Elephas maximus indicus: one gene and its partners. The protein of the gene in region 4 binds, or shares a complex with, the protein of the main gene of each other region. Links are inferred from orthologs where the notes say so. Each region holds a gene or a part of one and is shown on either strand. Other genes may lie near its edges. The genes, in order: STX7, BET1L, STX18 and STX5.

Region 1 (7,501 bases), on a different chromosome or scaffold from region 4:
AGTAATTAGCCATGGGCTGATAATCCTGATTCACCCCCCTTGTGAAGTGAGATGATGGGGTCAGACAACAATACTGCTGCCACACCATTTTTACAGTTGGAGCCCTTTTTTTTTTTTTTTTTACAACTTACTATTATCACTCAGAATAACAAGTATATAATCATTATCTAGACTTGCATTGTCCCACGAAGTAACCACTAACCATACGTGGCTATGTGAAATTAATTAAAATTATGTTAAATGAGAAATTCAGTTCCTCAGTTGTACTAGCCACCTTTCAAGTGTCCAATAACCACATGTGGCTAGTGGCCACTGAATTGGACAGCATAGGTATAGAACATTTCCATCACTGCAGAAAGTTCTGTTAGTCGGCGCTCATCTAGATACCGCAAAAATTATCTTTCTCTGAAGATATAAAAACACTATAAAGAGAAATAAGGGGAGGGAGGCTCAAAGTGCAATAAACATAGTGAGTCTTCTCATCTGCTTCTAAAGAGCACAAAGAACAAAGGAAATTTTATAACAGAATCTTGCATGTCAAACACTACCCTCAGTTATTACTGGACATACTGTAGAATCCTTGATTTGCATTAACCATAAACCTTCATGCTCTTTAAATTTATCATAAGCAAAGGGATTGAAATGGTGAGTTTCATGTTCCTAATTGTGAGCACCAGCAAAAAGCACTGGACGTCCTTCCACCCTATGCCATAACATGTAAGTTCCAGGGCTGGGAGAGGGGCTGTCTATTTTGGGGACCGCTCTATCCTCAGTACCTGGCTACAAATTAAGTGCTTAATAAATATTTGTTGAATCAATGAAGAGAAGTATAGGAACACACACTCTGTCTGAGGGTAAATATTACTATTTCTAAGACACTGAATTCCAGTCCCTTCTTGCAGCTCTTGATACATCCCAGGCTCTCTGCTGCCTCCCGCCTTTGCTCAGGGTCATTTCCTGTTCCTAGAGGGCTCTTCCACATGATCTCCATGTGACTGTGATGGAGCTTCTTCTTATCAGTATGGTCTTATGCTAGAGAAACCTTCTCCATCTGACCTGAGTTCACCACCTGTGCCACTCTCTGTCAATCTCTCTCACTGCTTCATAGCATTCACCACTATTTAAAATGATTTAATCAGTATACTGTTTATTATCTAATCCTACCTCTGGAATATAAATATGAAAGACCTTGACTTGTGGTATGCACAGCACCTGAGGCATAGGAGTTCCACCAACTTCTTTAAGCTCAGCTCCTCTATCACTGAACTATTATACTCTTTGGTTTTAGTTTATAATACCATGGATTACCCTTTCATACACTAAATTGTCAAATTAAATGGAATCACAACAGACTTTACTGAGACTTACAAAGGTATCTTATGATTTACTTTTCGATCACCGGCACTTAGCTGAAGTTTGAGGGTATAACCAAAATTCAAACATTTCCTCTTTATTTTGAATTTATAGGGCTGACTATTATTGGGAGAAGAAGTAAAATGTTTGAAGAAAAAAGATGATGTGGACAATGAGTTAATATGGTATCATATTAACTTCCACAGAAACTTTGAAACTAGAGCATAATTCTTAACTAGTCACAAACAAAGTAGGAGGTTAATTTCTCAAAGTGGCCTGCAAAGCCACCTGTCACAAGACACAGTTTAACACTGTTGTGACCAGTCTCTGCCCAGGTGCAGGTCAGGCTTCCCCAGAGCAGAAGTGTCCATCTATGTTACTAAACAGCACAATATTTCATAATTACGTGCTTGTCTTCCAGATTTCGTGCAAGTTTTAAATTATATAGACCAAAAAAAAAAAAAAAAAGAAATTATATAGACAGGACACAATAATCTGAAGTAAACAAAAAGTAATGTAAATATATGAGCCAAGCAAATGTAAGAAACCTGAAAGAAAAAATACAGCATTTGACCAGAAAGGCAATGTGCTTTTTTCTTCTTCTTCTTGTATATTTGTGTGTGTGTGTGAGAGAGAGAGAGAGAAAGGTTTTCAAGAAAGTAAGCTACCTAGAAGACAAGGGGAAAAAAATTTCTGGGATATTTTATGTAGTTTTAAAGGTCTTTAAGTAAACCTGCTAAAGACAAGTATTAAGGTCAAAGAAAGCTGGGGTGTCAACCAATGTCATCAAACCAAATAGCAAACCGAATACGATGAGCTTCTTCAATAAACATACATGGTTTGCTTACTATAGCCACATATTTTTCAGTTCCTCTCTGTTCAGGAAGAGTACTTTAAAGTGTGTTGATTAAATCCCCGAGATAAAAAGAGGAAGAGGCCCAAGCGTTTCCAGGAGGCACAAGTATTGGTCTAGACGGTCCCTGGATGCCGGAGCTCTGCCGCGTCGCTCCGCGTCCGCCCCGCCAGTGCGCCTCTGCCAGCGGGACCGGGCGCAGCTGCCCGGATGCAGCGAAGCGCGGCGGGCGCCAGGCTGGCCGGGCCGGCCGGGGCCGCCCCTGCTCTCCCCGCGGCGCCGGCCGAGCACACCAGGAATGTGTGCCGCCCCGGGCCAGGGGGCGTGGGCAGGAGCTGGCGATTTTGGAGCCCGGGCCCAACCCTCGCGATCTGCCGCCGCAGAACGCTGGGCGGCGGCTACCTGACAACGCGCACAAACAAGGAGGCGCGGAAGCCGCAGCAGGGGCACCGCGCCTCCGGGACACCGGGCCAGGGCGTCCCCTCCCCGGGGTCGTCTTACCCAGATCTGCTCTGCTTCCTCCTCCTCCGGACACGGTCACCCACCCTCAGAGCGCTACAATTCTCAGCTGATGGGCGGTGGCGCTGGCAAGTCCAATGCGCATGCCTGCAACTCAGCTCAGGGAAGGAGGCGGGGCTCGCTTCTCTCCCATTGGTCCGCGGGGCTGAGTGACAGCGTCCCTCTCCCGCCCCTTCTGGTTAGGAGCTAAGGAATGGCGGGGGTACCAGCAACACTGGCGTGGAGGTGTTTCATTCGGCCTGACTTACTGATGATGAACGCCTTAGCCTGCTTGCAAAAAAGAAGGGGAGGACGTGGAGGGCAGCTGTCTTCTTTATCTGGCGAAGCCAGTCTTCCTGGACACGTGTCTTCACCCCGCCCCATCAGCTCATGCTTATTTCCTAACCGGTAATAGACCCGTATTCACAGCCCCGTGAAGGTGTCGAAACACGTTACACGAACCTAGCGGGAACGATGAAAGAGTAAGTGAAGAGCCACTTCGGTGTGCTCACTTAGTAACCAAGTTTTCGTTGTACAGACAAGCCATCCTAAGCATTCTTGAAGGTCAGGCGCAGTTTTCATAGGGTTTGAAAAGAGCTGGGAATGTTCTAATGACAAATATGCAAACATAAGTATAATGCAATGCATCAGTTGCTTCAGGTGAAAAAAAAATAATTCACTGCATTAATTAGAAGATAAATTGGCTTGGCCTTTCCCTATATTAAGACAATGATAGTTCCTGAAAGGATCATCAGGATATATGATATTTAAAGTCCAGATTTGGGTGTGGGGGGGGGGGGGGGGACAGAACATTTTGGGTTGGTACTACCTGAAAAAATTCTAGATTGTTTGGTGTTTGTTGTTGTTAGTTGCCGCCGTGGAGTCTATTCCAACTCATGGCAACTGCTAACTTAAAGGTTGGCGGTTTGAACACACCCATTGGTACCATAGAATAAAAGGCCTGGTTATCTGTATAAAGATTACTACTGCGTAAAGGTTACTAGCCTGTAACACATAGGGTTGCTGTGTTTGGTGTTTTACATACCAAAAAACAAAAAACGTTGCCCTCAAGTTGATTTGGACTCATGGTGACCCCATGTGTACAGAATAGAATAGCATTCTATAGGGTTGTCAAAGCTGTGGTCTTTGGCCTTTCTTCTAGGTGTCTCTGGGTAGGTTCGAACCACCAACCTTTCTGTTAGTGGTCAAACGCTTAAGCCTTTGCCCCATCCAGGGCCTCCATGTTATACATATAAACCAAAAACCAAACCCTCTGCCGTTGAGTTGATTCAGACTCACAGCAACCCTATAGGACAGAGTAGAACTGCCCTATAGAGTTTCCAAGGAGCACCTGGTGGACTTGAACTGCTGACCTTTTGTTTAGTAGCTGTAGCACTTAACCACTAAGCCACCAGGGTTTCCTGTTATATGTAAAAACAATATACATAAATTAGTAAGGTCAGTCAGGGCTAAGACATCAAGTATCTCAGTCTATTCCTCATTTTCTCATTTTGACAGAGGAATAGGTCCAAGAAATGTTTTTTCTCTCATCTTTAGTAAAGAAAACTACTTTAAAAGTGGGATAATAAGCAGCAACTTACATACTGCCTCAATGAGGTAGGGGTAATAGGAAGAGGTGGGTGAAATAGGGAGAGGTGGGCATGCTGGTTAAGGAGAAAGCACACACCCCATCCAAAGGGACAGCATGATTCAGCTAGAATCAACTACAGCCTTTCAGCAAAATTGGACCAGTATTGTCCAATTATCTGATTTTTCAGAAGATATGATGGAAATTCAGATTTTTATGTGAAATCTCTCCTTCCAGTATTCCTAATTTTCATAAAACATTCTGTGATCAGACAAAATGTGTGTGTTTCAGCCTCTTTGTTGTTATTAGCTGACATCAAGTTGGCTCCAGTTCATGGTAACCCTATGCATAACAGAGCATAATGTCGACAGATTCTGTGCCCTCTCCACAATCGTTGGCATGTTTGAGTTCAGTAGGACAATATTTTGTTCTGATCTATATAGTTTTCACTGGCTAACTTTCAAAAGTAGATCATTAGGCCTTTCTTCCTAGACTGTCTTAGTCTGAAAATTTCACTGAAACCTGTCCACCATTGGTGACCCTGATGGTATTTAAAATACTGGTAGCATAGTTTCTAGTATCATAGTAACACGCAGACTACCACAGCACAACAAATTGAGAGACAGGTGGTGGTCAACCTCTATAACAGACAACCACATCAACCTTAGAGTATCAAAGGTGGAAAAGACATTACAGAAAATCTAGCACTACTTCCTCTTTTCACAGACTAAAGAAACTAAAACCCAAAGAAACTTAAAGCCACACAGATAATTTTGAGCAGCACAGGTCCCTATAGCCTACTTCAGAGTCTAGAGTTCTTTCCATCATCATTCATTTGGCAAATATTCACCAAGAGCCTGCCAGGTGTCCGGCACTGTGCTAGGCACAGTGGATATCATGATCAATAGGATATAGTATTTCCCCTCAGGGAGCTCAAAGAATGAGATCCTTCCCTGGACATTGTAAAAAGGTGATATGATAGAGATTTGTACAAAGCACAGTGGGAGCCCAGAAATGGAGGTGCCTTACTGTGGGTACAGAGGACTCCAAAAAGAATTGTCAGCAGAACCTTGAAAAAAAAAAAGTTGTGTAAAATTTCACTAGGAAGACAAGAAGGGAAAGGACATCCAGGCAAAAGGAAGAGCATATAAATGTTCATGAAATCAGAGGTAATCATAAACTTTTAGGGATCTATACATAAATTTATTTAGATAAAGCATAGCAGATTATATCTTAGTTACCTAGTGCTGCCATAACAAAAAATACTGCAAGCGGGGTGACTTTAAAGAACAGGAATTTATCTCCTCATGGTTTTGGAAGCTAGAAACCAAAATCAGGCCATCTGTTCTAAGGGAAAGTGCTTCCTTATCAGTAGCCCTGGGCGTTCCTTGGTTTGTAGACAACTCCTTGAATGATCTCTTCCTCCTGCGTGTCTGTGTCCATTCTGCTCTTTTTATAAAACACCACTCAGAAGTAATTAGATTTAGGATTCACCCTACTCTGGTATGACCTCATTAACATAATAAAAGAAAACCCCTGTTTCCAAACAGGGCCTTACTTACAGGTACGGGGGTTCAGGTTTCAACATATTGTTCAGGGGACACAATTCAATCCATAACAGATGGAAATCTGGAAGGCAATTTGGGCTTAGGTAATGAAAAGCTTCTGTATTATATTAAATGACGATCTAATAGAAGTTGAGCCATTAAAGGATTTTAATCAAGGGTGTGATGCACTCATAATTCTACTTTACAAAGAAAATTCTGGAGAAGTGGGGAAAATTAAAGGGAACTGAAGGTGGAGAGACACCACTTAGAAGGCTGTTGTAATAGTAACATTCCCTTATTAAGAGTCTCCTTAGTATTTTTTTTTTTTTTTAGTATTAGTTTTTTTTTTTTTTTAGTATTAGAGATATTCAAGGACTGCAGTAAGGCAAATACATTGGAGAAGAAATGAAGATTGGTTTGAGAAATATTTAAGAAGTCTTGGAAATCAACTAAATATGGAGAATGAAGAGATAACTCCTATTCTTATGACATGCAAAACTGAGGTGAATATGATGTAGTTATCTAAAATCTAAGATTACTAAGAAAGCAATTGCAGTTTGAGGATGGAGTGGTGAAGTGAGGTGTTGTATTTAAGATTCTGGGGAATGATGTAATTCGTGTCATGGAATCATATACGTGAAAAATATTGAATTGGCAAATGTCATGCTATCTGTATTTTTACAACAGTGAAAAAAGATTCTGGGGATGCGATATCCAGTAGGACATGCCCAGTGTCATCGGGCACTTGAAAATGTGAGCTAAATTCAAAATAGAGTCCTGGTTGGAGCTATGGTAAGAGATGAGCTCATTAACTTGAAGGGTCAGATGTTATGAACTACCTATGTTTCAGGTATGGACAGAGAAAGAGAAACCCTGCAAAGATTTGTAATGAGAGAGATCAGAAATAAATCAGGAAAAAGTAAAGTAGAGAATGAAGGAATGCATTTCAAAAAGGGAATAGTCTGTGATGATGTCACATATCACAGAAAGTTCAAGTAAACGAAGAACTGAAAGTCGTGCACTTGAGAATTAGGAAGTCTTTGGTAAACTTAGGAAGAAGTATCTCAATCATTCGAGAAAATGTCATGAAGCAACTTACATCTACATGAAGTCTAGTGCACTTCCCAAACATCCTTTCCTGGTCCCTTTGATAGAACCCTGGGCTGTGGGAGAGGAAGGTACTAAGCACTATAGAAAAAGAACCTGAGGCTAAGTGGCCTCTTTGGGTTATCCTGCTAACTTCTGACTGAACTGGGGACAAATCTCAGCTGTCTGACTCCTCTTCTTGGGCTTGTTCCAATTTCCCATGTTTTAAAATACGTTATGAGTGGATTCTTTCCAGGTCTTTTGAAAAACTAAAAATGAGATTTTACCTCTTTGTATTCAAATGGAAAGAAAAAAAGTACAGGGAACCCTGCAAAATTCAGAGGACTAGAGGATACATGTCTTCTAAAGGCGTTTCTGCCTGCTACTTAGTGAAATTCAGCCAGGTGCCTTGGACCTAGTAGGGCTCAAAATGTTCCTTTAACAAATGCTAATGTCACCATGTCACCTTGATGGCACTGGTGTGTTTTTTTTTTTTTTTTTAATGTCACCTCTGGGCCCTGGTGGCACAGTGATTAAAAGCCACAACAATCTACATTTGCTAACCAAAATGTCAAC
Region 2 (6,878 bases), about 12 Mb from region 4:
TGACTGATCCTGGTGGTGCCAGGAATACCCAGGTATTTCTGAATGGTGCTGCTGCCCACCTCACTCAGACAGGTGAAATCAGACTCTAGGGTGGGTCCCTTCTGCTCTCTTTGCCCCGCCTCCCGATCCACAGCCAAGACTGAGAACCCTGTCTGAGCATCCCCTTCCCAGCCAAGGCAGGCCCACATGCACACCACCCCCATCTACCTTGAAGCCCCACCCACAGCCCCACCCACCCACCTCAAGGCCCCGCCCACCTGTAACCCATACCCCACACCCCCACTTACCCACCTCAAGCCCCTCCCTCACCCGTGGAACTCCTCCGTGCGGTCGCCGGCAGCCGAGACCATCACACAGTGCCGCAGAAGGATCCCCAGATGCCGGTAACAGGCAGCATCATCCTAACCAGAAACATGTTCTTAGAGGAGAGAAGAACCCCACTCCCGTGCTGTTGCCAGCTAAGGCTCTTCCATCCACTGAGCCTACCAACAAGCCTAGTCCTGGGCCCTTGTCCTCTCCAATGTGACCTTTACTTTACTAACAGTGGGGCTAAATAGCCTCTACTCTTTTCCTAACAGCACTTTTCCAACTAAGAACGTCAACACAGTCCCTTGGGATGAAATCCTGTTTCCTCTCCTACCACATACTCTGGTTCCTGCTGGGCCTGGAGAACCAGAAACCACCTCCCCTCGCAGCCTCCCTCCAATGCCTTCCTTGAGGCCCCTCCTCAAAAGGGACCCTCCTCTTCTCCAAGAGGCAGGAACCCCAATCCTCTCTCATCTGATGCCCACAAAATCAAAGGCACCTGTGAGTTGAGCCCTCACCTCATCCACCTCCTGCTTGACCAAATCGAAGGTGATGTTGAAGAGAACTTTGAGGATCTCCATGGCCCGCTCTGTCTCCTGTGCAGGGAGGAACTCAGGGGGGCTCTCCTCTGGGGACGCCCCCAACGTCAGCTCCAGCGCATGGGTCAGCAGGCGCACCCCCTGCAGCTCCCGAAACAGTTGCTGGCGCACGTCAGTGCGCAGTGCCGTCAGCAAGAAGAGTAGCCGCAAGTCAAAGAACTGGACATCATGCGGGAAGCTCCGCTGCCCGGAGAGCCGCACACGCTCTGAGAGCCTTACTACCAGGCAGGCCTGGGCAGCCAACGCCTGTGCCGCGGGGCTGCTCAGCACGAGGTTGCAGAGGCACTTGAGGGCCTCAAGCACAATGTCCATGTCTGGAGACTCAGGGTCAGGTCCCTCGGACACGAAGATGCCAGCACAGCGAGCCAGGGCCTGCAGGCTCGGGCGGCTGGTGAACAGGTCCAGGCAGCCGCGGTCCCGGGACAGGATGCGAAGGCTCTGCAGCCAAGTGGCGCGTCGAGAGGGCGGCAGGCCCTGCTCCAGGGCCGACACCAGCAGGCCGGCCAGTCTCTGCAGAGAGAGGAGCAGCTCCACCAGGCCCGCCCCCGCCCAGCCCCCCACCCCCGGCCAGCACCCACCTTCCTGTCTTCCCGCTGCGCGTCCTCAAACGTGAAGCTCTCCGAGTTCTGCAGAGAGAGATCAAGGGATCACGACGTTCAGGTTCCCCAGCCGGGGCAGGACCGCGCCCGCAGGGGGGCGGCAGCATCGGCCTCGACTCTGAGCAGGCGGCTGGGCCCGGCGCCCCCACCCGCAGACGCCCCCCACCGCGCCCCCCCGCCCGCAGATGCCACCACCGCGCCCCCCCGCCCGCAGACGCCCCCCACCGCGCGCCCCCCCGCCCGCAGACGCCCCCCACCGCGCGCCCCCACCGCGCCCCCCCGCCCGCAGACGCCCCCCACCGCGCCCCCCCGCCCGCAGACGCCCCCACAGCCCGTCCCGCAGGCTCAGCCCCGCCGCGCGGCGCGCCCACCGTAGTGCCCGGCCCGTCAAAGGCTCGCGCTCACCTCCCGGTTGTACGTCCGCAGGGCCTCCATCATTGCGGCCTCCTCCCCCGCCTCCACGGCATTCGCAACCGCCCGGGGCTCCATGGCGTCGCTGGGACCGGCGCGGGGAGGCTCCAGTCGGCGAGCGGAAGGCCCTCGAGCCGCGGAGCCGACCCCGCCCTGCCTCCCGACCCAGCGTCACGCGCGCGGGGGAGGCCGGGACCGAAAGTGCGCGCGCCACGGGGAAGGCCTGGACGGGGCATGCGCGCGCCGCGGGAGGGGCCTGGACGGGGCATGCGCGGCGCCGCGGGAGGGGCCTGGACGGGGCATGCGCAGAGCCGCGGGAGGGGCCTGGACGGGGCATGCGCGGCGCCGCGGGAGGGGCCTGGACGGGGCATGCGCAGAGCCGCGGGAGGGGCCTGGACGGGGCATGCGCAGAGCCGCGGGAGGGGCCTGGACGGGGCATGCGCGGAGCCGCGGAGAGGTCCGGGTGGTGTTGGTGGCCTTGAAGTCGACTAGGCTACGAGACCCGGCTTGGTTATCGGCTGACCTCAGAGTCCGAGTCGCTCAGTGCAGAACCATGGCCCACCCCCCGACTGCTCCTTGGGCCAGAATTTCCAACAGGAGAGGGCCTCGTCCCCCCACCCGCGACACGCACACACTAACGCCCTTCTTGATCCACCGAACGAATGGGAGGGGGACAACCGAGGTGGAACTTTGTAGTCCTGGGGCCAATTGGTTTGATAAACAGGATTTTGTTGAGCTCCTATTTCATGCGAGGTGCTAGGGTCCCTGCCTTTCTGAAGTTCGTCTTCTAGAGAGGAAGACAGACCAGGAAAAACAAATGACTGGGCGGTCATAAGTGCCATGATTCAAAAAGCAGCCAAGAGTCCTGTGATCTCCAGTGCATGGTGGGCTGCAAAAGGCTCTGAAGAAGTGACCCTCTTGCTGAGACGAATGACAAGAACAGGGGCCAGGAAAAGGCCTGAGAGGGGTCGTTCAAGGCAGAAGGAATAGCTTGTCCAAGAGTGGGAATGACCGTGGTGGGATGGGGAAAGGAAGTTACCGTTGGAGCTGAGACGAGGGGGAGTGGGGAAGAGGTCAGGGATGAAGAGGGGAGCCTGACCGTGTGCGGCGATTTCCTCCATGTGTAACCCAGACCTGGTGCCCAGCCTGGACGCGGTTTTCTTTTTGTGTAAAACAGGAATAATAAAAGTGCCCGTCTCAATGGGTTATCATGAGGATTAAATGCATTTAAGTGCAAAGCACTCAACGTAGTGTTTCGCACACAGAAAATGGTCCGTAACGGTGGGTAACTTATAAATACGGCGCATCCACCCATCTATTCTTTCAATAAACATTGAGCATCTACTTCGTGCCAGGCCCTTTGTTAGGGACAAAGTTCAAAGTCCCCACCTATCACCAATACCCCTATTCCTTGCTTTATTTTTTCCACGATTCTTCACGCCTCTACTTTAACAAACACACAGAGCTTCCTCGGTGCAGGCACTGTCCTAAGCACTGTCAGCTCTGTAGATGCGAGCTGGTGTGCAGAGGTTAACCATCCCCAGGCCACACCAGGGCGATGCTGTCCCTAACGCGCCGCAGCTTTGGCTTGTCTGCAGCACTAGGACGGTGGGCGCCCCGGTCGCGGAGCCCGGCCCAGAGCGGAGCGCAGGCAGGCAGGCGGGACGCCACCCGCACCTAGCCTGTAAAAGCTGCCCGGTATTTACTGGCTAGCCTGGCGCTACGTTACTGCCTGATGCACCTCTGGTTGGAATAACCGAGAGAAGAGCCTTTCGGGGACCATGATTTGCCATTAAAAATAGAAGGCAACCAAGCGGTACCAAAAGCAAACAACCCCGCCGCGCCCCCATTTCGCGGGCTCTGAAGCCAACTTGAACTCACTTCCGCCTCCTTTCAGCCGGAAGTCGAGCGAGGCTCTGGCGGAAGGGGCGGGGCTGTGGCCGGTCGGGGCGGGGCCACGGCTCAGTGGGGGCCGGAAGCCTCTTCCGGTGCCCAGTGCCACGTCCGTGGAGGCGGCGGCGGCGGCCCAACCGGGGACCGAGGCCCGGGCCGGAACTGGGCGCGATGGCGGACTGGGCTAGAGGTGCGCGCCGGGAAGCACGGCTGTTGGAACCGGGGGGCGGGGCCGGAACCGGGGCAACACCGCGGGAGCGACCCCGCCGCGGCGGGCGGAGCCGGGGCTCCGGGGCCTCCCCGGGCGGGAGCGGGCCGCACTCCGCGGGCGCTGAGGGCCCTGCCGCTCGGTCCCGGCCGCAGAGCGTACCCCGCACCCACTCGTGCGGCGCCCAGGGCCCCTGGGGCCTAGGATGGGGCCTCGGACGGGCCACCCGGCGACTGTCCGAGAGGCTGGTGCGAGGACCCGTGAGCCTCCGAGTCGAGGCTGTGCGGTGGGAGGGTCCAGACAGGCCGTGTACCGACTCGGTGTTCCCGTCTGTTAAGGGGGGCTGTGTACCGACTCGGTGTTCCCGTCTGTTAAGCGGGGCCGTGTACCGACTCGGTGTTCCCGTCTGTTAAGGGGGGCTGTGTACCGACTCGGTGTTCCCGTCTGTTAAGTGGGGTTCTGATACCTGTCCCATTGGACTGTCCTGACGCGTAAAGGCGTAGAGAACATGAAAGATGCCTCGCACAATTGGCTCTCCTTCCCCGGGTGTAAAATGGTGTGGCGGGGCCTCTGACCTCCTCTGACTTCACAAGTGGGAAGGAGAAAGGTCAGCACCAGCAGCACAAGGCTGATTGCGTTGAGGTGGAGGTCAGACATGCCTCCACCCATCAACCCTTTTACCAATTCTGACACCAGCTGCCCCTCCCACGGCACTCTGTACTCCTCTGTTGGGTTCGATAATTGGTTGCAATGATCACACAGGACTCATAGACTCGTAGGTAGTTAAGGTTTGTTAGGGAAGTAATGGGTTACAATTCAGGATCAGGAACGCTCAGGATACAGTTCTGGGATCAAGACAGCCTCTTTGCCACAGGCCTTTCTCTGCCCCCCGCCCCCCCGCCTCTGACCTGTTCATCCAAGTGTTACAAAGCTCTTTTAGCTCTGCCAGCGAATACCTGGAGGCACCCCAGTCCGCCAGGAAGCCTTGTGCCGGAAGACGCTTAGCTCTCTGGCTCTGTGGGTGGGCAAGCCCACTGCACCGTCTCCTGCCAGTCTCCTGGTTCTGCTGCCTCTGCTGCCACTGCTTCTTGCTATCTCCAGTGTTAACAGCTCTCTCTCTCTGTCTTCGGGGTCCAGGACGTTCCCAGAGCAGGGATCCCGGGTCCAAAGGATGCGCTCCACTCCTAGCTCTTTTTTGGTGGTAGTGAGAACCCCACTCTGCTCTGGAATTGACTGCTTGTTTAAGTCCAGCTGGATGGCAAAACTGACCAGTCCCCTTATTAGGGTTTTATATACCTTATTAGCATGATCACACCTCCGTAGGGTCCTGTGCACCTTATTTGCATGATCAGTAAGCTATCCAATCGTCTTGGCAGGTCATAAGCACCTTATTTGCAGTTACAAAAACTGTTGACTAGAAGGGCCATATTAAGCGATTCACTGTACTGCAGCAGGGGTCTTTACACGTCATTCCTGTGGGGCTGTGCTGCACTCCAGTGGGTCACGTAGACGTCATTGACCCAGGTGCGTGAGGTGTGCGCGGGGCGACGATTCTCATCCACCCGCTGTGATGCGAATCCTGCATCTCCTGGCCCAGCCCCAAAGTGGAGAGTGGAAAATGGGTTTGTCGGGCCACAGGCAGTCACAATGGGGAGCAAACACAGTGCACAGACCCAGCTATGCCCTTGGGGTCAGGTATCTCAGCTCCTGACCATTCCCATGTGTGAAAGGCTACCCAAGGTCCCCGGCCACCTGTCACCTCTTCAGGACCCAGCTCATGGCCGCCCACACAGGAGCTTCCCTGTACCCTCCAGGGGTCCTTCCAGGTTGCTCTTGAGGATTGTCTGGTGAACATAAAGAACACACAGGCAGGTGTTGTGTCTTCCCAGTACCCCTGGGCTTGGTCCAGGTCCTGGCAGAGTCAGGTTAGAAAGTGCTGGTTGGACAAGCCCGTCGGGGGCACACGGGGGGGCGTTCCATGCGTCCTGCGCGGGCATGTACATGGGATGTGCACTCGCACGTTGTTGCACAGATTGTCCTATGGGAAAGACCTGCGGACCTCACACTGGAACCTAGACTAGGACACACCTGCCCAGCAGGTTAGGACCCACACCTGCCCAGCAGGTCACAGATGGAGGGGACTCAGGCCCACTGACATGTCTACCTGGGTCCAGTGGGATGGATGAAGGCGCAGAGAGTCGGCTCCCCGAGTTCCAGGGTTGGGGCTTCCACTGGTGATGCGATCCCTCCCTCTCTCTCTCTGCAGCTCAGAGCCCTGGGGCTGTGGATGAAATTCTGGACCAGGAGAACAAGCGGATGGCAGACCACCTGGCCTCCAAGGTCACCCGGCTCAAGTCGGTCTGTGCAGTTGTGGGCAGGACCTGAGGGAGGGCAGCCAGCTGGAGGGGGGTTCCAGGCAGTGTATCCCTCTCTTCACCCCATCCATGCTTACCTACCACACAGGTTCTGGGTGACACCTGACCTTGCCAGCGGCACCCATGTCCTGCCGGTTTGCTGGCAAGGTCTGGCTAGTCTTGCAGGGAGGGTGGGGACCGCCCACTCTTTGTGGCCCTGGCCTGAGCCTGCCTTCTCTGTGCCCTGACCAGCTGGCCCTGGACATTGACAGGGATGCAGAGGACCAGAACCACTACCTGGACAGCATGGTAGGGGCCTACAGCCTTCCCCACCTCAGCTGTGTCCCCTGCCCACACCCTGTGTTTGGCTTGTGCCCACCCTCCCGCATGGTCATCTCTGATCCCCACATACCAGTCCCTGCCCCGTACCCTCTCCATGCCTCGCACCCCGTAGTACCTGTCCTGTACCGCCATCCCTGCCCCCGTGCCCTGCTCTGTCCCCCCACCC
Region 3 (7,376 bases), on a different chromosome or scaffold from region 4:
ATTCTTCTTCCTCCTCCTCTCTTTATAAACCTCATTGTAATTGGTTTGCTTTGAGCCACTTGCTTTTTTTTCCAGAATCTGAATGGTCTTCCTATATGCTTATAGAATAGCCTACCAGAATAAACTTTATATTTCAACTACACTGAACTTTGATTATTTTTGAAGAATGAACAAATCTGTCTTGGAAGAAATACAGCCAGAATACTCCTTAGAAGCTAGGATAGCAAGGCTTTCACTTACTTCAGACATGTTATCGGGAGGGACCAGCTTCATCCCATTATACATGGGATTGCTTTGAGTTGGAACCTACTCGACAGCACCTAACAATAACAATGCTTTAAGAACCAGTTTTAATACATATACTAATTGCAAGAAGGCACAAATAGTTAAGTGCTAGACTAGTTCTAGCCAAAAGGCTGTAGGTTCAAAGGCATCCAGAGGTGCCTGGAAAGAAAGACTTGACAGGTGATCTTCCAAATGTTCACAGCCTTGAAAACCCTATGGAGCAGTTCTACTCTGCACACACAGGGTTGCCATGAGTCAGAAATCAACTCGATGGCAACTAAAAACAACAACATAGTTGTGCATCCTCTTTAAAAGAATAAGCAAACCTGCTTATCAATGAGGTCTTTAATTAAAACTGGACCTCGAAGCAAAGAAGGAGCCTTGGTGGTACAGTGGTTAAAACGCTCAGCTCTTAATTGAAAGGTCGGCAGTTTGAACCCACCGGCTACTCCCTGGAGAAAGATGGAGCAGTTTGCTCCCATAAAGACTTACAGCCTTTAAAACCCTGGGGGGCAGTTCTACTCTGTCCTATAGGGTCGCTCTGAGTTGGAGTCGGCTGAACCGCAATGTGTTTGGTTTTGGTTGGTTGAAACAAAATTCAGAAAAAATTAACTGGCTGATGTCTTAGTTCTCTAGTGCTGCTAAAACAGAAATACCACAAGTGGGTGGCTTTAACAAATTTATTTTCTCACAGTTTAGGAGGCTAGATGGCTGAATTCAGGGCTTCAGCTCTAGGGGAAGATCCTTGTCTCCTTTCAACATCTGTGGGCCTGGCATTCCTTTGGAGATCTTCATGTGCCTTGGCATCTATCGTTCCGTGAGTCTAGCAGGTTCTCAGCACAGGGGCCCCAGGTCCAAAGGATGTGCTCTGCTCTGGCTCTTTTTTCGTAGTTGTGAGGTCCCTCCCTTTTCTGCTCACTTCTCTCTCCTCTTATTGTTGCCAGGAACTCCAGGTCCTGCTCGATGCAACTCATCAAAGCCAATAAACAAGAGGCTGAGGTGGGAGATCAGAAAGGCAACTTTATTTCCTTGCAAGGAAAGGAACAGTCGGGGCTGGTGTCTCCAAGACTATTCAAGGATAAAGTTTAGGGAGGTCGCTTTTATAGAGCTTACAAGCAGGGAGATCATGTGAATTACAACAGCAACATTCTAAATCATGCTACGGCAGGGGGTTACATAAAACTTCACAGTACATGTGTTTAAAGGCTGTAAGTCTTTATGGGAGCAAACTGCTCCATCTTTCTCCAGGGAGTAGCCGGTGGGTTCAAACTGCCGACCTTTCAATTAAGAGCTGAGCGTTTTAACCACTGTACCACCAAGGCTCCTTCTTTGCTTTTTTAGGGGTGGAAAAATTGGTACCTACGAGGAAATTAATGAGCCAAATTTAACTGTAGGTCTCTTGAACTAGTTTGAACCAGCACTCGGTGGCTTACTTGTCTTGCCTGAAAAAGAAAATACAAGCTCTGAGGTGTGATCTCCACTGTGGGATTTTTCCCACAGTATCAAAGGCTGCTGCTTTATTACTTCGTATAAGATAAAAGGTGTGACTCAAGCAAGGGTATGACTCAAGCAAGGGTGTGACTGGAGTAGGGGTGTGAGCTAAGTAAAGCTGTGACTCAAGATCCACCTCACACTGATCCTGCCTCATTAACATATAGAGGTTAGGATTTACAACACATCACAAAATGGAGGATAATTACATCAGGTTACAAAATGGAGGACCACCACACAACACTGCAAATCATGGCCTAGCCAAGTTGACACATACTGGGGGGAGAGGGGCAGACACAATTCAATTCATGACAGCTGACTTGCAGCCAACTTAAGCAAATATTATGACTTGAGTTAGCGATTGGTGACACAAGAGGCACTCTTTCATCCTTATATCCAGTTGATAAATTCCTACTCATCCTTCAAATCTCTGCTCAGGTGGTAACTTCTCTGTGATCCTCTTCCCCACCACAAATAATAAGGATAATATTAACAGCAGCTAATATTTACTGGAATTAGTCGATGTTCAACCATTTCAAGAGGTGGCATATGATCGGGAACCGATGGTGCTGAAGGAAGAAGTCCAAGCTGCTCTGAAGGCATTGGCAAAAAACAAGGGTTCAGGAATTGATGGAATATCAATTGAGATGTTTCAACAAACAGATGCAGCACTGGAGGTGCTCACTCGTCTATGCCAAGAAATATGGAAGACAGCTTCCTGGCCAACTGACTAGAACAGATCCATATTTATGCCTATTCCCAAGAAAGGTGATCCAACCAAATGCGGAAATTATCAAACAATATCATTAATATCACACGCAAGCAAAATTTCACTGAAAATCATTCAAAAATGGCTGCAGCAGAATATCAACAGGGAACTTCAGGCTGGTTTCAGAAGAGGACACAGAACCAGGGATATCATTGCTGATGTCAGATGGATCCTGGATGAAAGCGGAGAATACCAGAAGGATGTTTACCTGTGTTTTATTGACTATGCAAAGCCATTCGACTCTGGATTATAACAAATTGTGGATAACATTATGAAGAATGGGAATTCCAGAACAGTTGTGCTCGTGCTGAGCCTTTACATAGATTAAGAGGCAGTTGTTTGGACAGAACAAGGGGCTACTGATTGGTTTAAAGTCAGGAAAGGTGTGCGTCAGGGTTGTATTCTTTCACCATACTTATTCAGTCTGTATGCTGAGCAAATAATCTGAGAAGCTGGACTATATGAAGAGGAACGGGGCATCAGGATTGGAGCAAGACTCATTAACAACCTGCATTATGCAGATGACACAACCTTGTTTGCTGAAAGTGAAGAGTCTTAAAGCACTTACTAATGAAGATCAAAGACCACAGCCTTCAGCATGGATTACACCTCAACATAAAGAAAACAAAAATCTTCACAACTGACCAATGAGCAACATCATGATAAATGGAGAAAAGATTGAAGTTGTCAACGATTTCATTTTACGTGGATCCACAATCAACAGCCATGGAAGCAGCAGTCAAGAAATCAAAAGACGCATCTCGTTGGGCAAATCTGCTGCAAAGAACTTCTTCAAAGTGTTGAAAAGCAAAGATGTCACCTTGAGGACTAAGGCCAAGCCATGGTATTTTCAATCGCATCATATGCATGTCAAAGCTGGACAATGAATAAGGAAGACCAAAGAAGAACTGATGCCTTTAAATTGTGGTGTTGGCGAAGAATATTGAATATACCATGGACTGCCAAAAGAACGAACAAATCTGTCTTGGAAGAAGTGTGGCCAGAATGTTCCTTAGAAGCAAGGATGGCGACACTGCGCCTTACATACTTTGGACATGTCGTCAGGAGGGATCAGTCCCTGGAGAAGGACATCATGCTTGGCAGAGTACAAGGTCAGCGGAAAAGAGGAAGACCCTCAACGAGGTGGATTGACACAGTGGCTGCAAGAATGGGCTCAAGCATAGCAACGATTGTGAGGATGGCGCAGGACCGGGCAGTGTTCCGTTCTGTTGTGCATAGGGTCGCTGAGTCGGAACCGGCTCGACGGCACCTAACAACAACAACAACGACATTTACTGGTCACTTCCTAGGAGCCAGGCCACACCAAAAACACTTCACACGCCTTAACTGACAATTCTCACAACGACCCTGAGACGGGTCGGCTCCACTTTAGGGACGAGCTGCTCCATCCGTGTCCCTTGGACACTGCTCTGTCCCTGCCCTGCGACACGCACACTGTGACCCCCTGAGGTCAAAGGACAAGCCCGTTTGGCCTCCGCGTCCCCCGAGATTCGCCCGGCCCAGGCTCAATCAGGGCGGGAGCCACGAGAAAGGAACGAGCCGTCCGGCTTTCCGATCCTGCTGTCCCGGACCCATACTCCCCAAAGCCGTACACGACGGTCGGGGACCCAGAGTCACTCGGCGCGGCCAAGCCCGGGGGGTTTTCGGGGAGAAGAAAAGGACGCCGGTGAGCACTTCCAGGCAGCTTCCGGGATCCGCCCCGAGCGCCAGCGCGAGGCCGGAACCTTTCTCCTCGCTCCGCGGTAGCTCGGCGGAGGCCGGAACCTTTCTCCTCGCGCTGCGGTTGCTGGACGGAGGCGTGCGGGAGAGAACGGTCCTCTCGCAGCCGGGTTCGCAGCGCGTCGCCGGCTGCTGACGTGGGGGGCCCTGTGGGGACCGCGGGTGCGGGTCGCCATGGCGGTGGACATCACGCTGCTGTTCCGGGCCAGCGTCAAGACCGTGAAGACGCGGAACAAGGCGCTGGGAGTGGCGGTGGGCGGCGGGGCAGATGGCAGCCGCGACGAGCTGTTCCGCCGGAGCCCTCGGCCCAAGGGAGACTTCTCCAGCCGGGCCCGAGAAGTGGTGAGCTGGTTGCTATGGAAACGGCGGGCGGGAGCCGGGCGCGGACCCGCGGCGTGGACCCCTAGACCCCCAAAGTGCACCCGGTCCCGCAGGCATTGTGCGAAAGAAACGCCTGGAAGAAGGGGTCGCAGGAGGGAGCAGCCGAGCTGGCTTCTGAGAGCCGGCAGCTGTCTGGGGAAAGGAACGCCATGCGTTTGGGGAAATTAAGGAAGCCGATTTGTCTTGGGCGGAAGGAGGCGCTCGGAAACCTGCGTCTGCAGAGTTCCCGGGTGTGTGTGGCAATGACTTCGCCGTCACTGCGCCTGGACGCGGAGGCAGCTCCCCCGCAGCCCCCTGCTCCCCTGTCGCCTCGCCGGCCACGCTGCCATCGCCTCTTCTGTTCACTTGTCCCATCGTCCTTCCTCGAATTGAGATTAAAGGCCATGCCTGATTCAGCTGTCCTCTCCCCTCCCCTGGCCTCCTGCAGGAGGTTAGGGCACAAGGTAGATAGAATTCAGCACTTTTTTTTTTTTTTTAATTTATTGCGCTTTAGGTTAAAGCTTGCAGAGCAAATTAGTTTCTCATTAAACAGTTAATACACATACTGGTTTGTGACATTGGTTGCCAACCCCGCAACATGTCAACACTCTCTCTGTCTCCACCTTGGGTTCCCCATTTGCAATGGTCCAGCTTTCCTGTCCCCTCCTGCCTTCTCATCCTTGCCCCTGGGCTGGTGTGACCGTTTAGTCTCATATACATGGTTGAACTACGTGTATTATTGTTTGTTTTGTAGGCTTGTCTGATCTTTGGCTGAAGGATGAGAATTCAGTACTTCTTGAGACTGGTTTAGGATCAGCTTTCACAAACACTCCATGTGTCAGTCATCCAAACTACTTTCTGTTTCCTGAACACTGCAAGCTTTCCTCATCTCTCTGAGCAGGGACCTTCTCCTTAAGGGCAGGAACAGTGCTGGCTTCATTTCAGAATCCCCAATGCTTGACTCATAGCATTGCTTAGTAAATGTTGAGTGAATGAATGAACAGATGGTTGTCAGCCTTCCCCCACTAAACAGTAAACTCTGTAAGAAGAGAGAAAATGTTTGCCTTGTTCACTTTTGTATCCTTGGCACCAAAAATGGATCTAGTTTTTGTGGGGTCTAAAGCTCATACAGTTTTGTCTGCCCTCTGTGAGAAATAAAAATACAAAATTACAGAAAAAATCAGGTTTAGAGCTTTGGGAAAAGTATAAGTGAGGGGCCCTGATGTTTAAGGTTCTAATATCAACTTCACAGTAAATCCACGTTAGCTTGGCACGCAGTTCAATGCCTGGCAGTGTGTAGACACTCAGGTATTTTTGAATCAATGTATGCATGCATGAACCAACGAAGGGCAGTTTGCAGGGGATATTAAAGCATTAGAAGGGGGATTAGGCTAGATGAATACATTTAGTTCATTAACAAGCATCTTTTAAGCACCTACCTTCTAACCAGCACTGTGTTAGGGTAACACGATAGAAAAGGAGTGATGGCAGAGGCAGACATACGAACAAAACAAGTGCCATAAAACTTTGTAGGTGGTGGGATAGAAATATGTGTCAGGCACAAAGGAGAGTGTGATCAGTTCTACCTGAGGACCAGGAAGGGTTTTCTAGAGCCAGTCATGCCTGGAACAAGTCTCGAAAGATTTGGTTCCTGTTCAGACAGGTTGGGGGAGGGCATCTCAGGCTAAGAGAGCAGTGTGCACAAAAGCATGGAGATAGGTAACAGCCTAACATAAGTTGGTTCAATTAGTATTTGAGTGTGACTGGAATTCAGGACACCCAGAAAAATTCAACTGGAGGGGCAGGCAGTGGCGGATCTCAAAGGGCCTTGTATACCACTCTGCTGAGTGTGGACTTCGTCCTGTAGGCAGTCAGGTATTATGTGGTAGAAAGACACCCAAGAAGGAGCCAGGAGACCAGGCTGTTGGCTTAACCCTGCCACATTAGCCGCGTGATGCTGCTGTTAAGCAAGTTTTATGACCTCAGTTTATTTACCTGCAAATGGTGCCCTCCTTTTTTGTTCTTATTAAAAGAAGGCTTTTAAAAACTACAGTGATCCCTTATATATAACAGATCAAAGGGGGGCTTCTTGGATGGAAATGAGAGGAAGGGAAATCAAGACATTCTTCCTCCCCTGCCCCCAGTCAGGCCGAGGCCGTTCCTGGGTACCTCTGTGACTCTGAATGAGGCATTGATGGTTCAGTGGTAGGATTCTCTCCTCCCTTGCAGGAGACCTGGGTTTAATTTCTGGCCAGTACACCTCACGAGCAGCCACCACCCCTCTATCTTTGGAAGCTTATGTGCTGCTATGATGCTGGGTATATTTTAGCGGAGCTTTCAGACTAAGGTGGGCTAGGAAGAAAGGCCTGGCGATCTTCCAAAAATCAACCAATGAAAACCCTGTGGATCACACTGGAACACTGTCCAGTTCGCCACCACTTATGGGGACGGTGCAGGAGTGGGCATTGTTCCGTTCCGTGGTGCCTGGGCTGCCCTGAGTCAGAGCCAACTGGACAGCAGCCAATTACAGCGTTCCGACTCTCAGATCACTGATTCGTCAACACTGCTGATTCTGAGTCCTCAGGGAGGTGTCAAGACTTGGAGATCCTGCTAAGCAGGGACGGGAGCTGTGTCACTCGGAGCCGCTGTCCCTCCTGCCGTAGGGCGAACACGCACACTTCCGAGAACTGTGTTTTAACGTTGCAGTTGCTTTACGTGTCACCTGCTGGTC
Region 4 (7,330 bases):
GCAGGTGTCATGAGAGGACATTGGGCTGGCAGTGTAGAGAACTAGGTTCTGGGTTCTGATGCTGCCTCTCGTTTGCATTGGGGCCCAGGCCCTCTTCCCATCTCTGGCCTCAGCTGTACATGAAGGGCTGGACTGGGGAACATGACAGTTATTTCATTTGAAGTCCTAAGACCCAGACAGGGCTGGGCCACTGTTTTTTGCCCTGTTTCCTTCACTCCTGCATATTTGAAGTCTAATCTTGGTGATATGCCTCTGCTCAAAACCCACAGGAGGGCTTCCTCTCTCCTCCCTTGTTCAGGCTGAATTTCTCTGCTTGGAATTCAGCACCTTCTGACAATTGAACTGACTTGCTTTTCCATCCTCCTCCCCCTACATGGGCAGATTGCAGGGAGGGCATGCAATGCTGACCGTGGCAGTGCTGCCCTATTCCCCAACCTAGGGGACCTGTCCCTCAGCCCTGTCCATTTATGCTTCTAAGTAAGCTTGTACCTCAGTTTTCACAATCCTGCTAAAAAAATGTTCTAGTAGCGCCTGAAGTCCTCTAACTTCAGGAGGAGGAGACAGAATCACCATCAGCCCAAAGCTGATTCCTATGAGGTGGAGGTCAAACATACCCCCCTCTCCAACTTCTTTACCATTTCCGACACCAGCCAACCGCATCCCCTCTTGCCCCCATGGCGCACTCTGCTTCTCTGCGGGGTTCCGTAAGTCATTGGAACAGCCACACAACTCAGGCCATACTTACAGTTAAGTGGTTTACTAAGGAAGTAACAGGATATCAGAATCAACAGGCTGCAACTTAGGATCAGGATCCGGAAGCATGTAAGCAAAGTCTAAAAGACGCCCCTGAGGTGGAAGGCACATCACTCCCTTCTTCAGTGTAAATAGCTCCCGGCGCCTCTTGGCCATGCAAGCAAGCAGGCCCTTCTCTCTGCCATACACGCCCCCTCAGCCATGCACGCCTCTTTGCCTTTGGCCACCCTGCTGTCAGCCTCTCTGCTGCTAACTGATCCAGCTTATAGCCAGTGTAAAAGCTTTGTTCAGCTTAGCTGCATTCCTAGCTGAAGGTTTCTGCTGTCATTTTCAACTCTCCCCCAGGGCCAACCTGGGCCTGTTGCCACTGGCTGTGTCGCAAGACCCCTTCTGGGCTTCTTGATGCCTTCAGTGTTACAGGCCTTCACCTGTGTTACAGCTCTTTTAGGAGGTTCCTCGCCTCCTGTCTGCTGCTTCTCTCTTGCCTGTCTTGTCTTTTCTCCCTTCTGAAACCTCTGTGGGTTTGGCCACTTATATAAGCAAACTCCTTATCAGTTTCAAGGTATGGCCCTCCCGGCAGGGCCACAGACTAACCAATCCCCTTTGTGGACCATAGTCATTTGATTTGCATAGTCTGTAGTCACTTGATTTGCATAGTATATTGATCAGTCCTTACAAGGTGCATACCTATCACAGGATAGGCTACAGCCCAGGACCAGACAAGAAGTATCAAACCAAGCCGTTTACAGTTTACCCAGGAAATGTTAGTCAACATGGACAGAAGTAGCAAACCCTTAGGTAGAAAACCAGGGCAAAGGTAACCCCTCAGGGCTTAGTGGAAAAATCTCAAGCTGTTTTTCCTAAGAACCAAGGCAAAAGGCCACATAAAGGAACTTATTTCACCACACCTGCCCACCTCACAGGTTGGTCTGAGACTGGGTCATAAACAAACAGCACAGGAAGATGTGGAGAAGCCCAAGGAGGGTGTGCGGGCTGAGGGTACTCTTATGATGACTCAGTCTTCCTCCAGGTCCGTGTCTATGATCCAGCCTCCCCCCAGCGCCGGCCAGTCCTTGAGGCCACCTATGGAGAATATCCGCTGACAGCCATGACCCTCACTCCTGAGGGCAAGTAAGTGCCTGGAGGGGTAAAGGTGGGTGGCGGGGGCTCAGGGACGGCTCCGGGAGGTTCCTGCTGACGCACTTGCTTCTGGTCTCTTCAGTTCGGTGATTGTGGGGAACACGCATGGGCAGCTGGCAGAAATTGACCTTCGGCAAGGTAAGTGGACTAGAGGGTGAGGGTGGGGAAGAAGGCAGAATTCCTTCTGAGGCAATGCAATGGAGTGGTTGTTAGCTCTGTTCAGGTGCCACATTGCCTGGGTTCAAATCCTGTTTTCACCAAAAGCTGCTGGCCTTGCCAAATTACTTCAACTCTCTGTGCCTCAGTTTCCTCACGTGTAACATGGAGATATTACTGGTAATTCCTGTCTCTGAGTTACATTGAGGACTAAATGTTGAGATGTAAAGTGATCAGAACAGCAAACAATACGTGGTTGTTGGCTGGCCAGCTAACACTGATACCCCTGCTGTCCCCAGGGCGCCTCCTAGGCTGTCTAAAGGGGCTGGCAGGCAGTGTCCGAGCGTTGCAGTGCCACCCTTCAAAGCCCCTGTTAGCCTCCTGCGGCCTGGATAGAGTCTTGAGGGTGCACAGGATACGGAACCCACGGGGTCTGGAGCATAAGGTGAGAGCCCGAACCTTTGAGCCTTGCCCGTTCTGCCTAGTTCACAGTTCCTGGAGCCCACTGGCACCTGTGCCCCCATTCATTTTTCCATCTACTTCAGCATGCCTGGGCTCCTTAAGTCCCCTCATCTTTTGCAGGTTTATCTCAAGTCTCGGCTGAATTGCCTCCTTCTGTCGGGCAGGGACAACTGGGAGGTGAGCTACTGGATCTGGGAATGTGAGAGCAAAGGGCATGTATGTGAGGATTTCCCTCAGAGAGAAAAAAGTGGCAGCTGGAACCCAGATCTGGAGCTGTCCACTTGCCTGCCAGATTATTTCATTTCTCTGACAGGTTTTAATAGTCAGCCCTGACAAAGTTATTGCCAAGAGTGACATGTCTAAAAGCATGGACCGAATTGGTGTCCCGGGTGCAGAAAATAAAGATGATGGTGGTGGTGGGATTATCTTCCCACTAGGGCTTCCACAGAGGAGCCTTGGTGGCACAGTGATTAAGCACTGCGCTGCTAACCAAAAGTTCAGTGGTTCAAACCCACCAGCCACTCCTCAGGAGAAACGTGTGGCAATCTACTGTAAAGATTACAGCCTTGGAAAGCCTATGGCAGTTCTGCTCTGTCCTCTGGGGTCGGTATGAACTGCAATCAACTGGTTGGAATGGGTTTAGTTTTGGCTTAGGGCCTCCTTGTGGGTCTGTTACTTTGCCCCTGATTCTTCAGCTTTCCTCCCGTTCACCAGGATGAGCCCCAAGAGCCTGAAGAACCCGACAGGGTGTCCCCAGAAGACACAGAGACGGATGAACTTTGGGCTTCCTTGGAGGCGGCTGCAAAGCGGAAGCTCCCTAATTTCAAGCAGAGCCAAGGGGCCCAACAAGCCAGGCAAAGAAAGAAGAGACCTAGATCCACCAGTCCCTGAAAACCCTGTACCCACTTTGTAAATAAACATCCCAGCACCCGCCATGACCTGAGCCTTTTGTGATGGGAGAAAGGGAAGAAGTGGCTTGGGATAGGAGAGCTGGGGCGGCACGATTTCTGACGTCACAAAAGCCGGCGAAGGGCCCGCGGGGCGGGCGGGTGGGCTGGCGGGGCTGGCACGGAGTGCGGGCCGCGGGGGGCCATGGGCTGCTGCCAAGACAAGGACTCCGATGAGGCCACCAGGGAGGCCGACTCCGTGGAAGGTGGGAGCAGAGATGCAGAAGAGGGGGACAGGCACGGGCGCGGGAGAGGAGGCTGCCCCAGCGGTATGGCCAGGGAGGTTGGACAGGGGATGGTAAAGCAAAGCTCAGCGGCCTCGTGGACCCCCTAGGCACCGAAGGGACTGATGCCACGGACGCCCCGAGCCGCCGGAATCGCAAGTCGAGCGAAAGCCTTCTGATCACTGTGCTGTGGCGGCGGCTATCCCTGTTCAGCCGTCGGGGCTCCTCACGGTCGAACAAGAAGCATTCAGGCCAGAGTCAAAAGCCGGGGAGTCAGAAGGCGGAGAACGCCCCGGAGAGGATCCAGGAGGAGTCAGAAAAGGGGTGACCCCAGACCTGCTCTCAGTTCGCCCCAGCCTCCAGAGAATAAAATTTCTAACGCGGACTTGCGCGAGCGCTTACTCTCCACTGCCACTTTCGGAGCACCGGGCGACGGCACCACTGGGGCTGCGGGCTCTTTAAGACTCCTACCCTAAGGTTGGCCTAGCCCCCCGGTGCTCAAGGGCTCCCTCCTCTGGGGCGGGGTCACGGTATCGGCCTAGCCAATGGGACGGTGAGGTCACGCCTACGCTCGGGCAGGGGCGTGTCTGCCGGGTCGCCGGGCTTGGAAAAGCGTGGCGCCGCGCTGTCGTCACCAGGGGCGGGGTTACGTGTGGGTGACGTGGCGGCTTCCAATCTTTGGCCGGGTTTCGGCGGCTTCTGCTCTCGGGGAGGAGGCAGTGACGGCCCAGGAGACTGTGGCATAGGCAGCGGCGGCCGGCGGCAGTGAGGAGGTAGGATTCGCTTTAAGAGGGGGTCCGGTCGCCGTGTCAGCTCCGGGACAGCGGCTCTCTGGGGGCGGCGACGGGGGGGAGGGGAACAGGGGACGAGCCGGCAAGTCTTGCCGGCCCGGGGGGGGGGGCGGTGAGCGAATGCTTGACCGTCCAATCAGGAACGTTCCTGTTGAGAAAGACGTCGATATTAGCTAATCAGTGGTTGCAATCCTCCAGGAGGCGGAACTTGGGCGGGGGGTGGGACTTCCTGTTTCAAATAAACACTTAGAGATTCCCCCCTCCGCCCACCGAAGTGTGTCCCGGTCAGGAAGTCCGTCACCGTTTCCCCCTGAGGAGTTTAAGGAGCCCAGGGGTACGGGACGGCCCAGTTAAGGCCTGGGGCAGCTGCACCTGCCGAGCTGTAGCCTCAGGGCCACGGGACGTGGCTCTGGCCCTGGCTGCGCTCAGGGCCCCAGGCCCGCGCCCTGGCCGACCGAGCCAAGTTGGAAGAAGGGTCTGAGGAGGGGACAACTTGAGCCGGGAAGGAAGCGGGGCCTTCCCTCTGCGGGCCGGCCTTGGGCGCGAAAGTCCGTGCCAGGTGCAGAAAGGGCCGGAGGATTTGCTGGTCGGGGGGAACTTGTGGGGATGGAGGCTGCCTGGGGAATGACACTCTGCCCTCCACAACAGTCCGAGGTTATGCGTCTCAATGATCCCGCGGAAACGCTACGGATCTAAGAACACGGATCAGGGTGTCTACCTGGGTCTCTCAAAGACACAGGTCCTGTCCCCTGCAACTGCTGGCAGTGGCAGCAGCGACATCGCCCCTCTGCCCCCCCCAGTGGCCCTAGTCCCTCCCCCTCCCGACGCCATGTCCTGCCGGGACCGGACCCAAGAGTTCCTGTCTGCTTGCAAGTCCCTGCAGAGCCGTCAGGTAAGGACCTGGAGTGGGAAAGGCGAGAGGTGAGCCGTAGTCGGTGGGGAAGTGGGCTGCAGCACTGTTTGCTGAAGTAGTTCTTGGGGGATCCTTATGGCAGGCTCATGTGTGGGGCTGTGGGATCTACTAAGCAGCAGAGAAGATGCAGGTTAGCTAACTGGAGGCAAGGACCTTGACTTCTGTGAAGAACCCCCTGAGGGTAGGGCTGTTGTTCTGGGAGGAATCCCTCAGGGCCAGAGGTGGCTGCACTGTATTTGATTTGGATAAGTAACAGGCTCTAGCAATACGCTTTAGCTGGGAGGCATGCACCTTGAATTCTGGTTCCCACGTAGTTCTAACAGAAGTTTGTTTTGTGACCGTGAGGAAGTTAATTACTATTTGGACCTCAGTTTTTCTGTCATTAAAATGAGAGAAGTTTTCTAGATCAGTGATTTTTGTCAGAATTGCTTTAGAGTGTCTTTTAAAAGGCAAATTCGTTTGTCTAAGTCCAGATTCCTAAATCCAAGTGGGATCTGGGTAACTATTTTTAAGTATATTTCGTGTTCAGCTCTTGCTAATAGCTGCTCATCCACATGATCTCCAAACCTTCTAGTTATACTTCTCTTTTGATTCTGAGAATAGAATGGCAGTACCAGCTACCAGTTTAGTATTTATAATATGCTCAATATTTGTCTAAAATACTTTACAGCTTTTTTGTCATTTAGTTTCAGTAACAATAATAGGAGATAGGTGAATTGTTTTCCTTTTAGAGTAGAGGAAACAAAGACTCAAAATGGTTTAAGTCTCTCAGCTAATAAGTGAGAGTCAAGCTTTGAACCCAGATCTACTTGTCTTTAATCTGAGCTCTTAAACTACTACTGCTGGTAAATCTAGGCTATCTGATTAAGGAGCTCATCACTAGAAGGAGTTTAGTGGGCATCTGAGGAGCAGTAAAGTCTGGAAATGAGGAAGGGAGAGCTAAAGTTGTCACCTCCTGACATTGCTTTTCAGAATGGAATCCAAACGAACAAGCCAGCTCTGCGTGCTGTCCGGCAGCGCAGTGAATTCACCCTCATGGCCAAGTGAGTCGAGAGAAGCGGTGTGGTGGTACGCTCTTGTGTCTGAGCAGAAGTGGGCTTGCCTTTGATAGGCTTGGCTGTGAGGACTGGGATTGGCTGTGCTGGAGCTGATGCGGGAATAGGCACTCTCCTGCCCTTTCTTACAGTGCTCTCACTAATGCTCATTTGCAGGCGCATTGGGAAAGATCTCAGCAACACATTTGCCAAGCTGGAGAAGCTGACAATCTGTGAGTGTTTTGGGGGACCCTTTTGTGGTGGGGCAATGAACCAAAGACATTGGGGAGCCTTACTCTGAGTCCTGTTTCTGACCTCACCTGTTGTGGGTTCTCACTTGTCCCTGCAGTGGCAAAGCGCAAGTCCCTCTTTGATGATAAAGCAGTGGAAATCGAGGAGCTGACATACATCATCAAACAGGTGAGCTACTAGCCATCGGTCAGATCACTTCCATCATTTTCCATTGCTGTGGAAGCCCAGAGCAAGTTTCTAGAGCCAGCCCCAAGCATCCTACTCATCCATTGAGCCAGTAGATACTTTTGGATAACCTACAAGGTACAAAGGATTATGCTGGGCACTGGTGACAAAAACATGAGACAAGATTCCTTATTCCTTATTCAGGCTTATTGTCTAGAAGAGGTATCCAGCCCCATGAACCCATACTTACAGTGAGTAGGAGTCAAGTGGTACAGAAAAGAGCTTACAAAAAGATCAGTGAGACCCGTTGGGGGTGCTGGGAAGGATTTTATAGCAGAGATGAAATCTGAACTGGTTTCAAGTCTTGTGTAGCAGCAGTGGAAGGACATTCCAGACAGAGAAAACTGTGTATACAGAGGCATGGCTTAAAAAGGGAAAGTTCAGGAATAAGACATGCCTTCCAGTTTTTGCTCAGACGTTATCTGCTCACGAA

The links.
Region 1: STX5 (region 4) and STX7 share a complex: the UniProt entries of both Homo sapiens proteins name them as parts of the SNARE complex. The link is inferred for Elephas maximus indicus from reciprocal best matches to the Homo sapiens genes STX5 and STX7.
Region 2: STX5 (region 4) and BET1L share a complex: the UniProt entries of both Homo sapiens proteins name them as parts of the SNARE complex. The link is inferred for Elephas maximus indicus from reciprocal best matches to the Homo sapiens genes STX5 and BET1L.
Region 3: STX5 (region 4) and STX18 share a complex: the UniProt entries of both Homo sapiens proteins name them as parts of the SNARE complex. The link is inferred for Elephas maximus indicus from reciprocal best matches to the Homo sapiens genes STX5 and STX18.

What each region holds. Positions count from the first base shown.
Region 1 is NC_064819.1:201,524,744-201,532,244, forward strand, and holds the start of STX7 (syntaxin-7), read right to left. Parts: upstream 3,016-7,501; 5' UTR 2,708-3,015; intron 1-2,707. UniProt on the Homo sapiens protein: May be involved in protein trafficking from the plasma membrane to the early endosome (EE) as well as in homotypic fusion of endocytic organelles. Mediates the endocytic trafficking from early endosomes to late endosomes and lysosomes.
Region 2 is NC_064825.1:138,017,407-138,024,284, forward strand, and holds the start of BET1L (BET1-like protein), read left to right. Parts: upstream 1-3,877; 5' UTR 3,878-3,979; coding exon 3,980-3,998; intron 3,999-6,282; coding exon 6,283-6,374; intron 6,375-6,622; coding exon 6,623-6,679; intron 6,680-6,878. Other genes in the region: RIC8A (synembryn-A), read right to left, coding at 310-401, 825-1,415, 1,484-1,531, 1,910-1,993. UniProt on the Homo sapiens protein: Vesicle SNARE required for targeting and fusion of retrograde transport vesicles with the Golgi complex. Required for the integrity of the Golgi complex.
Region 3 is NC_064823.1:156,987,088-156,994,463, reverse strand, and holds the start of STX18 (syntaxin-18), read left to right. Parts: upstream 1-4,355; 5' UTR 4,356-4,459; coding exon 4,460-4,627; intron 4,628-7,376. UniProt on the Homo sapiens protein: Syntaxin that may be involved in targeting and fusion of Golgi-derived retrograde transport vesicles with the ER.
Region 4 is NC_064825.1:125,978,755-125,986,084, reverse strand, and holds the start of STX5 (syntaxin-5), read left to right. Parts: upstream 1-4,451; 5' UTR 4,452-4,455; intron 4,456-4,676; exon of another isoform or gene 4,677-5,032; intron 5,033-5,121; 5' UTR 5,122-5,140; coding exon 5,141-5,365; intron 5,366-6,358; coding exon 6,359-6,429; intron 6,430-6,597; coding exon 6,598-6,653; intron 6,654-6,769; coding exon 6,770-6,840; intron 6,841-7,330. Other genes in the region: WDR74 (WD repeat-containing protein 74), read left to right, coding at 1,784-1,884, 1,976-2,031, 2,349-2,494, 2,632-2,688, 3,226-3,402. UniProt on the Homo sapiens protein: Mediates endoplasmic reticulum to Golgi transport.